Oryctolagus cuniculus: one gene and its partner. The protein of the gene in region 2 purifies or fractionates together with the protein of the main gene of each other region. This does not show direct contact. Links are inferred from orthologs where the notes say so. Each region holds a gene or a part of one and is shown on either strand. Other genes may lie near its edges.

The links. The genes of interacting proteins can lie anywhere in the genome.
Region 1: the proteins of RICTOR (region 2) and FLNA purify together in Homo sapiens (affinity purification with mass spectrometry; 3 studies listed by BioGRID and IntAct, with this or other methods). This does not show direct contact. The link is inferred for Oryctolagus cuniculus from reciprocal best matches to the Homo sapiens genes RICTOR and FLNA.

Annotation. Positions count from the first base shown.
Region 1 is NC_091453.1:132,580,532-132,586,173, forward strand, and holds part of FLNA (filamin-A), read right to left. Parts: intron 3,638-5,642; coding exon 3,390-3,637; intron 3,278-3,389; coding exon 3,182-3,277; intron 3,023-3,181; coding exon 2,920-3,022; intron 2,817-2,919; coding exon 2,676-2,816; intron 2,570-2,675; coding exon 2,441-2,569; intron 2,246-2,440; coding exon 2,072-2,245; intron 1,985-2,071; coding exon 1,823-1,984; intron 1,722-1,822; coding exon 1,518-1,721; intron 1,437-1,517; coding exon 1,284-1,436; intron 1,189-1,283; coding exon 1,066-1,188; intron 980-1,065; coding exon 713-979; intron 566-712; coding exon 428-565; intron 200-427; coding exon 84-199; intron 1-83. UniProt on the Homo sapiens protein: Promotes orthogonal branching of actin filaments and links actin filaments to membrane glycoproteins. Anchors various transmembrane proteins to the actin cytoskeleton and serves as a scaffold for a wide range of cytoplasmic signaling proteins.
Region 2 is NC_091445.1:64,474,021-64,480,377, forward strand, and holds the start of RICTOR (rapamycin-insensitive companion of mTOR), read right to left. Parts: upstream 4,080-6,357; 5' UTR 4,021-4,079; coding exon 3,972-4,020; intron 3,800-3,971; coding exon 3,752-3,799; intron 2,618-3,751; exon of another isoform or gene 2,481-2,617; intron 1-2,480. UniProt on the Homo sapiens protein: Component of the mechanistic target of rapamycin complex 2 (mTORC2), which transduces signals from growth factors to pathways involved in proliferation, cytoskeletal organization, lipogenesis and anabolic output.

The DNA of each region.
Region 1 (5,642 bases), on a different chromosome or scaffold from region 2:
AGAACCCTGGCCTGTGCTTCGCGGTGCCTCTGGTCTGGCCGGGCCCAGGAGCCCCAGGTGGCCAGTTTCTCTCAGTGCCTCACCTGAAGACTAGAAACAGTAAGGCGGCGGGCATCGCCGGACGGAGAAGCCACAGGCACCACGAAAGGACTGTCAGGGATGTGCTCCTCGTTGAACTTGACCGACACCTCGTAGTCACCTGGCAGGGAGAGGACACGAGGCTATCCTGGGCCAGCCCAGGCCAGGCACGATGGGAGGTCTGGCTCCTCGGAGGCTGGGCCTCCTGCCTGCCCCACCAACAGCCCGGGGCGGGGCGTTCTGAGGCTTCGAGGCAGGTGGAGGGTGGTGGGGGCCCCAGGGTGGTGGGGAAGACAACCCCGGCTCCCTCCCTGAGGACCTGCTCCAGCCCCGGCCAGGCCCCCGGTACCTGGCTCCTGGACCACGTAGGCCACACCACATGAGCCGTCCTTGCGGTCCTCAAAGGAGATCTCGGCCTTGCTGGGGCCCTCGACGGCGATGGCCAGGCCCCCGGCGCCAGCTTCCCTGGTCCAGATGCTGAATTCGGCTGTGGAGAGCGGTATTTCCTCCTGGAGGGTTGCGCCTCTGCCCTCAGCCCCTCGCCATGGCCCCGATGGCGTGGCTGCCGGCAGCCTCCCCCCCACTGCCCCCGGGCACCCAGAAGAGCAAGAGCTGGGTGGGCAAGCGGGCCTACCTGGCACTCCGGCTTCAGCCCTCTCCAGGCCAGGGCCCCCAGCACGAACCTTGTGGGCTCCTCCTTCCCCCAGGGGCCCCACGGTGAACTGGAAGGGGCTTCCAGGCACGTGCTGGCCCTTGTACTTGACACTGACTGTGTGCGTGCCCATCTCAGCAGGCACAAAGCGGATACAGTAGGTGTGGTTCTCGCCTTCCACGATCTCGGCCTCGTGGCTCTTGCCCGAGGGGCTGGTCACCTGTGCGGTCATGTCCTGGATGCTGATTTCTGCAGGGAGGAGGTGGCCCGGTGGGTAGGAGGTCTGTGCCCCCACCTGCTCCCAGCAGCCCTCCCTGGCTCCCCACAGCCCCTACCAGGGATCTTGAGGCTGAGGTCGCAGTGACTGCCAACGTTGGCCACCGAGGGGGCCCGCCGCCTGCGTGTGATGCTCTCTTTCACCCGGCCCTCGCCTGTCACTTTCACGGAGAAGGGGCTGCCTGCAGGGAGAGAGTGCGGCCCATGCCCCGCGCGGGTTACACCCGGGTGCGGTAGGGCTGGGGGGAGGGCGGGGCTGCACTGTCACCACACCTACCAGGCACATGCTGGTCAGCGAACTTGATGTTGATGATGTAATTGCCGGGTTCCGTGGGGCAGTAGGTGACCCTACACGTGCCGTCTTCCAGGTCTTCCGTGTTGATGTCCACCTTGCTGGGACCCTCGATGGACAGGCTGAGCCCCCCGTAGCCTGGGCGATGGACAGCCCTGAGCCAGGCTGCCCAGCGCCACCCACGTCCCCCGCCCCCGCGGGCCCGCCTCCGCCACCTACCTGCGTCTCGAGTGTCGATGATAAACTCCGCGGGCTCAAAGGTGCGGCCCTCGTGGAGGCCCTGGCCGGACACGCGCACGCGGCTGGCATCCCCGATCTCCGACTGGCTGATCACCACCGGGATGGGGCTGCTTGCCACGTGCTGCCCGTTCTTCTTCACGTGCACCAGGTGCTCCCCTGTCTCCTTGGGCACGAATGAGATCCCTGGGCACGGGGCGGGGCTGTCAGCGGGGGCGGGCGCGGACACCCCCACCCACGCCCGCCCACACAGCCGCTCTTCCTCCGCAGTCCCCTCAGCCTCTCACCCACGTGGCCGTTCCGCAGCCGCTTCAGCAGGCAGGGCTCCTCCCTGCCCGAGGGCGGCACCACGGTGGCCGTCAACAGGCTGAGGTCCGTCTCCGAGATGTTGATGGGGATGTCGGCCGCAGAGCCCACCTTCAGGTGGGACATCCGCATGGAGTCGTCACCTGCGGGGGCGGCGGGGGGCGGCCATCCGTCACTGCGTCGGGCTGCAAGGGGAGAGCACGCCCACCCCCGCTCCCAGTGCCACCCACCTGTGACCCTGGCGGTGAAGGGGCTGCCTGGGATGTGCTGCTCGTTGTACTTGACCAGGATGCTGTAGTCGCCGGGCAGCACGGGCAGGTAGGAGACGCTGCACGTCCCGTCCTGGTTGTCCGTACAGCTGATTTCCGCTTTGGAAGGCCCCTCGATGGCCAGCGACAAGCCCCCTGGCCAGAGGTGCGGGTGAGGGTGGGCACCGTGCCCGGGGACACGCCGCCACGCCTGCTGAGGAGGAGCCCCGCTGGTGGGGCGGGGCGGGGCGGGGGCCGGCAGGCGGGGCTACCCCGTTAGGGACCCCGCCCACGTTCAGCCCTCAGCCGCCCCAGTGGGGAGGTCCCGGATGCCCAGCACGCGCCGCTCACCTTCTCCCGCGTCTTTGGTGTTGACGGTGAACGTGGCGGGCTTGTTGACCACTCCGTGACTGAGGCCGGGCCCGTAGGCAGTGACGTGGCCGCAGTTGACGTAATCCACGTAGAACTGCAGGGGGCTCCCTGAGGCGGGAAGGGGGCCGTGTCAAACGGCAGCCTCATGTGCCTCCACCCCCACCTCTCTGCGAGATGGCGGTGGCAGCGGCCGGCCAGAGGCAGGGTGGCCCACCTGGGATGTGCATGTTGTCGTAGCGGATGTCCATCTCGTGCAGGCCAGCCTCGCTGGGCGCATAGCGCACGGTCACGGTGCCGTCCTTGTTGTCAGTGATGGAGGGCTGTGCCACCTTGCCTGAGGGCATGCGGACCTCCCCTGCGGGGCAGCAGGGCAGTGGGGCAGCGGAGCTGGGTCAGGGCCGCCCAGTGGCTCGCCCCGGCCGCCCGGGCTCCCGCGCTCCTTCCCGCCTCATGCTCACCGGTGATCTCGCCCTTCTTGATGGTGAAGGGGATGACGAGGTCAAAGGGCCTCAGGCTGGTCACGTCCAGCCCGTTGACACCCACCAGGGGCCTCTCTGGGGCCTGCATGGAGACACGGGGCCCAGGTAAGTGGCTGTGGGGGCACGTGGGGGTCCCTCCTCGCAGGTGGCAGAGCGGCCGGGGCCCATGGGACTCCCTGCCCACCAGCCCTGAACATCTCTTTGGGCCGGGCGATCCGCGAGGTGGTGAGCCCTGCCGTACCCAGGTCTGCTGGCCACCCTGGGCATAGGTGTACTGTGGGGCCAGCTGCTGAGGCCGTAACGGGGGCTGTGCCGCGGGCTGTTCCCCAGCCAGAGCCTGTGGAGCAGAGCGGGAGCTGGAGAGTCTGTTGTCGCAGCGGGGCCCTGGGGGACGGGCCAGGCTGGACCTGTCAAGAGCCCCCTGCATCCTGCCCCCGGGCCCTCCTTACCGTCACTTGGAAGGGGCTGTTGGGCACATGTTCGCCACCAAAGCGCACACAGATTACATATTTGCCTGGCTGCGGGGCTGTGTAGAAGATGTCAAAGGTGCCGTCCTCGTTCTCAACCACATCCACGTCCACCTCTGAGCCATCAGGGGTGCACACCGTGCAGGTCACTTTGCCTTTGCCTGCCGCTTTTGTGTCCACGGTGATCACCGTCTCCTCCCCGATCTGGATGGTGGGGCCGATGCCAGCACCTGATAGGGCAGGGCAGGTCCCCGAAGGGAGGCCAGCACGTGAGCTCTGCGCTTGGGCTGCTCCTGTCTTCCGGCTGCCCCCCAGGCCTCAACGCCACCACCAAGCACAGCCAGGCCTCCCGCCCCACCCTCAGCTGGGATGGCGAGTGCTTTCTCAGAAGACAGGAAGGCTTCTCCTGACCACCTCAAGCCCTGACACCTGAGAGGCCTGACCGGGGGCACTCGGGTGCCCAGGAAGAGAAGGAAGGGCCCATCTCGGCATGAGCATCTACCGCCACCTCCCTCCCTTGCCCCACTTGGCCTCACTGGCATCGTGGCCCGTGCTGACAAACAGCAGCGCTCTAGCCAGGCCCACGGCTGCCTGGACCCCCTGTGGCCCAGCCCTGGCCCCCAGTGCTGTGTGGACGCGGTGAGGCAGAGTCCTGCTGCAGCGTGGGGGGACGTGACACTTGCCTTCCTACCCCCCTCCAGGCCTGGAGGTGAAACTGGAGTCTCCTGACAACTGAGAATGCTCGCTCAACCAGCGGCTCACTGTGAGAGGCAGCCCGGCGCAGGCGGGAGCAGGGAGGCGGGAGGCAGCCAGGTTAGCACCCAGGCAGTGCAGCACAGCAGGTTTGGCAGAGCAGTGGCAGCACCCAGGGGGACAGGGACAGGAGGCCCAAGCCACAGCCACCACCACTGGGTTGCAAGGGCAGAGAAGCTGAATAGCCTCTAGGGCCCCAGAGTGCCCGAGGAAAGGGGAGGTACAGTGACGTTATGATCTGGGGCTCAGCTGTGGAGGCTTGGGGAGCTGTGGGCTGTGAGGCCTGGCAGCGAGAGCACCCCTGTAGCCTGGCCTCCTGCCAAGGAAGCAGCCAGGAGCACCAAACTTGCTTGAGGGTCAAGTTCAGGGGGCACCCCTGGCCAGTCTGCCACCAAGTCCCCCTACTGGCCAAGGGTTCTTCCCCCTGCTTAGGCACTATGCTGACTGACCACAGCCCAGGTGGGTCTCCTGGGCTCTACAGCTGGCTATCTGCTGCCCTGGGAGGCCTCACTCACCTGCACCCCACACCACCCAGCTCATGGCTAGGGCTCCAGCCTCACAACTACCCCCGATTCCCACCTTTCCCAGCCCATCAGCAGGTCTTAGCTACTCTATTCTCCAAGTACCCTGTCCTGGCTGGGCTCCCACCTGAAATCCCATGGCCACTGGCCTGGCCCAAGCCACCCGTCCAGCTTACCCAAAAGTGACTTCAGCCCCTGAGCTGGGCTCCCTGCCTCCACACTGCACACATGGGCCACGTAAACTAAGGCTAATGCAAACCTCTCCCCTACCCCCTAGTCTGAGTCCTGCACATGCACCAGGTCTCCCCCGATCCCAAAGTCTACTCTACAAGGCTGTCTAGCCCCGCTCCAAAACCCTAGCCTCCCTCTAACCTGCTCCCTGGCCACCCTGCCTGAGTGGCCGGCCTACAGCCTCTAGAGGCCCTCAAGTCATTCTCCCCTCTTAGAGGTGCCCCTGGCTGGGGCAGGCAAACTTCTGTGCCTGCCAGGGGATGGCCTGAATAACGTCACTGCTAGGGGGACAGGAGAGGAAGGGAAGGAGGGAGACGGGCAACACAGTGCACTTTGGGGCTCTAGGCTGGGCTGGGCCCCGCCATGCTGGCCACCCAAGCAGTCGACGCTGGTGCTACTGCACTACCAGCCAGCCCCACCCGCTCATGCACCTCCCCCGGCCCGGGACTCAGGCCCCTGGGAGGTAGGGATGGGAGTCTGCGGATCTGGCCGGAGCTAGGGACTCCCCTTGTCCCCTTAATCCAAGCAGGAGCCCTTGTGAGAAGGAAGGGCCCACTGCCTATCCCTGGGTACTTGCCCAGAGTGCCAAGATCCCCAGACCCCAAAGTCCCCAAGTGGGGTGCCTCTCAGGATGCACCTCACCCCAAAGCTCTCAGCTGCAACCCGAGTTCTCCAGTGGGGAAACGGAGGCCCAGAGAGGGGAAGGGCCGGAGTGTTCATGCTTAGCTCC
Region 2 (6,357 bases):
TTCATCTACTGAAGTAATAGCTTGAACAAATAACCTCCTAACAAGAAGAAAAGAGAAAACAAAGTTAATGTTGAAATCCCATATCATTTCAGAAGACCTTCCTACTTTTCTGCTTATTAAACTAAGACAGTCAACTTTTTTACTCTTACTAATGGAAATGAATAACAAAATATAATAAAACTTAATAGCACTTTAAATAAATCATATTTTAATAATTTTATTTGAATCCAGGTGTCCATGTTCTGAGAATTCACTTCAAATAATAATTATACTAGCAGGGCATACCCAGGAAGAACACTGTCTTTTCAAGTTATTTAGTACCAGGAAGAGATACACTACTGGACTGCTTTTTTAAATAGGCTATCTTTTCAGCTGAAGTTGCTAAGGGAAGCATTTGAGTTTCAAAATACATTTTGGCAGGCAGCACAGAGACAGTATTTAATGATATCAATAGCAAATATTGGGGACTTTCACAAATTAAGTAGAGTAGCTAAGAGAATAAAATGAAAAGCAAAAATGATCAACAAGTTCACTGTGGAATCTACTACAAAATCCTGATCCTAGGTCAAACTTAATTCATCAACATTTTTAACTGCAAAACTCCAAGTAGGAAGCACAGCACTAACACTAGTACCAGAATCAAAGAACCTTAGAACACCAGCAGGCCCCAAGAAGCTCGTAAGACTAGCCTAGTCAGCTTAAGAAATTTTCTGAAGTCACAGAAAAATTCTAAGATTCTATAAAATAAAGTATCACATTTCATCTTAAGTGCATATAACGGGTTGTACTTCATTAGACTTAATTTACTGGCAATCTTTATTTTTTAAAAAAAGAGTTCTCTTTTTATAGTCATTACACTCAGGACCTCTACTTCAGATAAACTATACTTAATTAGTACAATACAAGGTCTCAACAAAAGGAAGCTTGAATACCAAAATCCTTACTTCTTATTAACATGTACATACTCTAAACAATTATTTGAAATATCTCCAATGTGATTTAAGAATCTTGATTTGACATGGTAGGAAAGTTGCTAATATGACAAAGTACCTGATCCTGTACTGAGTACTATAAGAACTACCTCATTTATTTCTCAGATTCTCAATAATCCTTTGAGGTTACCTCTTCTTTTTGAGATGAAGAAAGGAGGGGTTAAGCAAGGTCAAATAAGTTGCGCCAAATCACCCACCTCCTAAATATCACAGCTGAGATTACAACCCAGAATTATTTGACTTCATAGTTAGCTCTTTTTCATCACACACTAATGGCTCCCTTAGGGGTTACAATGATTTTAACTTCTATTTTATAAAGAACTTTGTTAGATATCTATACAATAAACCTCTCAAAGATTACATGAAAATAATTAGAGTAAGAGAAAACGGCGCCTTGACATTAATCAAAAAGTTATTTGGTTGCCTGAACTTTATCTTTTTTACATACTGTAATTCAATCCACAAACAGCTGCCCTTCAGCTGTAACCCAGACTGCCTCACAGTTCTCAAATCATTACTAAAGTTTAATTCCTCATGAACTTTCTTCAAGTTAGATCCACAAGCCTTTTTTGAACAATGAAACGTCTGTCAGAATAATAGTTTCTTTAAACAGTGTTGCTATAAAATGAATCTAACTCAGATTTTCTTTATTATAAACTTCCTTATGATTCAGGAATAGAGTTCTCATGTAACCTCTCACTCATAGTTGTAAATCACTTGTGAAATTGGTTTCAACTGGCTGTGTACATGTATTCCAAACTGAAATACATTTTGTCAGGGCAAACAAACAGTAGTCTCTGTATTATTTTTATATAATCCTGGAAATGCTTATGAACAGTTATTTATAAAATAAATTATTAGAGAATATAGCATTTTAAATAATAAACATACAGAGCTACATGTGTACCTGAGTAAAACTAGAGTAAACCCAAGGTATCCAAATTTATATCTGAGCTTTTATACAACCAAAATTTTTGATATCAGAAAAACAATGAAATACAAATATAGCTCAACAAATTCAATAAATTCAACAAAATTTAAGGTACAACTAAAATTTATTTCTAGCATGCCCAAGTAGGTTTTTAATGCACAAATTGACCTCAAGTTTACCTAGTATGTACTTTTCACCTCCCTCTAAAAACACACATGCTTGTGTGTGTGTGTGTGTACACAAATCTCTAATAAACTACATCTGTTATTTAACTCAAAATGCTAAATTTCAGGCCTGTTAAGAATGACCCTTATTTTTGTTCACAGGTTTCCTTGAAAACAGCAAACATTTCATACAAATTTTTTCCCTATGTCTGTCATATAGAGTTTTCAAACTACTGCACAAAAGCCGAAAGGCTGACGACATGTTTCTTCACTACTTTCTAACCTCTAAGCTGCTGAAAAACTGCTCCAAAGCAGTGCACTGGTGATCGTAATCAGTGCCATTTTTAGTACTCAAGCCCTACTATATTGTATTTTTGAAACTCTCTTGCCTACCAAAGTTCACGAAAACTCCGTCCTTGAAGTTGCAGAATAAAACACGGTTACAAAAATACACTCTCGTAGCTCCATGAAAACCGGCCTTCCAGTTTACAAAGGCTACCTCCCATCAGGACATACAGAACAAATCATACTACGCTTTAATTCAGCGATGATCCTCAACACCAAGCCCACGTCCACCATAAATACGTGGAGAGCGATTGTTACGTCAAGAACATAGGGTTAAGTAGCACATCGACCGCGTATCGACTGTTTACGACGACTTCAACTTCCTACAGCGCTTTACAGAGCTCAACAAGCAACTGATGCTATGCAGCTGAACCACGTTACACCACAAGCTACAGCTGGTACGCAACGGGACTTGGCGCGAACCAGCAGACCAAATCCTGTTTATCGTGCAGCAGAAAAGAACCTCGTCGCAAGTACCCAATCACGCAATCTTCGGCAAGACAAGGTGGAATAAAACCCCACTACGGTCCCGTCCCTGCTATGGAGAATACGGAGTGGAGCCGGAGCCGGTCCTTCAAAAGAGAAGCCAGGGTCACTCAGTTCCCAAGGTGTAAACAAACCCGTCGCCACTGCAGGAGGTAAACAATGAACCTGCAGCAGGGCGAGGGGGCGGTCTTCGGCGAAGCACGGTCCCAGCGGCCCGGGAAACAGAAACAGAAGGAAAACACGGCGGAAACCAGCCACGCAGCAGTCCTGACCGGCTCCAGGGCTCAGCACCGAGCTACCGATGCTGGCGGTCCCCACAGGACGCGGGGCAAAGAGAAAAAAAAAAAAAAAAAGGCAGGCACGCAGTGAGCAAAAAAGCCAGCAGGTCCGGCTTCTGCGCCGGGAGACGGGGAGGGCAGGATGTGGTCGCTCTTCCCTCAAACATCCTCCTGCAACCCAAATAACAACCTCCACCTCCCTCCGGCCGGCCCCGGGAGCCGGCGGCACGAGCTTCGGCACGGGTGGAAGCCGCTGCCCCCGGGGGCCACCGAGCCCAGGGGTCGCCGGCTCCGCCAGTTCCGCTCGCGGCTCCCCAGCCGCCCCCCCCCCCCGCGGCAGCCCGAGGCCCCCAGAGAAGGGTTCAGGCAGAGTGAAGCGGGCACCGGGAAGGGGGATGGGTTCAGCGAGGCGGCCTGGCGGGGCTCCCGCGGGCCGGCAGGCGGGGCTCGGGCTGCGCCCCCCGTCCCCGTCGCGGGTCCCGTGCGAGGCCCGCCCCGGCCCCAGCTCCTCCCCAGCAGCGCGCCCTCGCCGGCGCTCTCGGCGCCCCGCGTTACCTCGGGTCAGATCCAGCGGGACGTTCTCCTCGCCGCTGTCATTCCGCCCTGCGCGAAACAGACACACAGCCCCAATTAGGATTCGCTCGCAGGCCAGCGGCGGCTGCCCAGGCTCCGGCCAGCGCCCCCGCTCCGCTCCCCCGACCCAGGGCCAGGGGAAGGCAAGTGCCAGGGGTGGCGGGCGCCGAGAGGTGAGGAGTGAGGGCTGCAGCGCGCTTACCTCGTATTCGGAGGTTCTTCAGAGAGCGGCCGCGGCCGATCGCCGCCATATTGACGGGTTTCAGTCACAACACCGGAAACCTCGCCCAATCGCGCGAGAACCCCTTCCCCTCCCCGCGCGCCGCGCCCGCCCCCCGCGGCATCGCCCCCGCCCCCTCGGCGGCGGGTGGTGCCGGCTGCGCTCCGGCCGCGGAGGGAGCGCCGCGTCCACCCGGGGTCCGGGAGGAGGAGCTCGTGGCGTCCGCCCGCCCCGGCCCAGGGAGGCGAGGCGAGCGAGCGGCTGGGCCGTCGGAGGGCAAGTCCTCCGGGAGGGGACGTTTCCCACGCGGGGAGTCCCATTGATGGAGTTGGCGGCGTGGAGGATGCTTCTCCTCCGGCCGCCGCGGACACCAGGCGTCCGAGCCGAGCGAGGGGCGCAGGGGCAGAGGAGGGCGGCTGCGGCCGAGCGGCCACCTGCTCGGAGCGCGTGCTGCCGCCGGCTTAGCCCTGGAATCCGCGGCCGCGCTCAGACGAGCGTGCGGAGCGGCGCCCCGCGCAGTGTAGACTCCCGTAAATCCCGCGCTGCGAGAAGAGACTCGCTTTTCCCTGACCAAGTTAACGCGTCGCTGAGTTCTGTTCCTAGCCGTGCCACGCTCAGCTCTGGGGGGTGGGCAGAGTCGGGGCGGCGGGGTAGTGGAGTTGGAGCCCACCTGGCCGAGGTGGCGGGAGGGCCCCGGCCCGGGAGCGGAGTGCGCCCCGCGCGCCCCGCGCAGGCCCCGGGACGCGGTTTCCTCTCTGCGGGGGCCGAGAGCGGAGTCCCGGCTTGTGTCTGCAACTCCCGGAACGGTGGCAGATGGGGCGGTTGTGAAGGCGTATTTCTGTACACAAATCGAGCAGTTGGGAAGGACAGGAGTTTTAATTCGGGCGAGTGTTCTTTGATACCCTAATAGACACATCTGACCCCTGATGCAGCAACTTCCTCTGGGACCAGATGGACTCTAAAGAGGATGAGCTCTCTCGCTCTTGGTCCTCGACTCGTCTTCTAACTCCCTAGAGACTGAACGTGGGGCTCTATACCCTTAACCCCTTCTCTTTCTCAGCTGCCAGGAAATACAACCTCTACCCTAAAAAGAAATGTTGGAGTTTTTTGGTTTTTTTTTTTTTTTTTTTTTTTGCTGTTGCTAATAATAGTGAACAAGTGGGACCACTTCAATGACCAAACTTGAGAGGTGTGTGAAGTGCAGCAGCCGTTTCAAAAAACGATACGAATCTAGTAGGTTAATAAGAAACAATGGTTCACATTATTGAGTCAAGCAAGAGGTTACAAATTTCCTGGTTTGGAAACTTCTGAAATACACACACATTAAAAGGATGCATCACAAAATGGATGTGTCCACAGATAGAAGTCTGAAAAGATAGACATCGGAATGCTGGTTGGTTTTCCTCCCTCAGTTGTGGAATTACGTATGCTCTGGATGTTTTAAATGTCCTATAGTGCATGTGTATTTCATTCATATATATATATATGTCACTTGTAAAGGTGCATTGTAAGAAAAGTAAAGTAGGAGCACGGCTTTCTTACATGCTACCCACCATCTATGTGTTTCAGGTGCTTTTCCTACTACGTGTGCATTCAAACAACGTGGTGCTGCTCATACTGCACTTCGATTTAAGGATGACCTTACTTTAAGTAAATTTGTCCTGCCAATAACAGTAATTTTAATAACAGGAACAGGGCCGGCGCCGCGGCTCACTAGGCTAATCCTCTGCCTAGCGGCGCCGGCACACCGGGTTCTAGTCCCGGTCGGGGCGCCGGATTCTGTCCCGGTTGCCCCTCTTCCAGGCCAGCCCTCTGCTGTGGCCAGGGAGTGCAGTGGAGGATGGCCCAGGTGCTTGGGCCCTGCACCCCATGGGAGACCAGGAAAAGCACCTGGTTCCTGGCTCCTGCCATCGGATCAGCGCGGTGCGCTGGCCGCAGCGCGCCGGCCGCGGCGGCCATTGGAGGGTGAACCAACGGCAAAGGAAGACCTTTCTCTCTGTCTCTCTCTCTCACTGTCCACTCTGCCAGTCAAAAAAAAAAAAAAAAAAAAAAAAATAACAGGAACAAAGACTTGCCTTCACGTCTTGGTGCAAATTGCTCTACTTAGTGCACAGAACAAAAATCACAGAACTCGAGGTCTGGCCAGGACATTACAAGTTCTGTATTTCATCCCTTTATGTTTTACACTATTTCACCATTTTAGACAAAGTAGCCATGAAGAGCCTGCATCCTGTTATCTTTATAGCTATCCATGCCTACTTAAAGACCATTAGTCAATGACTCCACCTTTTAGAAGAAGAATCATCTTTCTTCAATTGTACAATGAAGCTAATTTTCCCTCTGTGACTATTCCACTCATTTGAGTGGT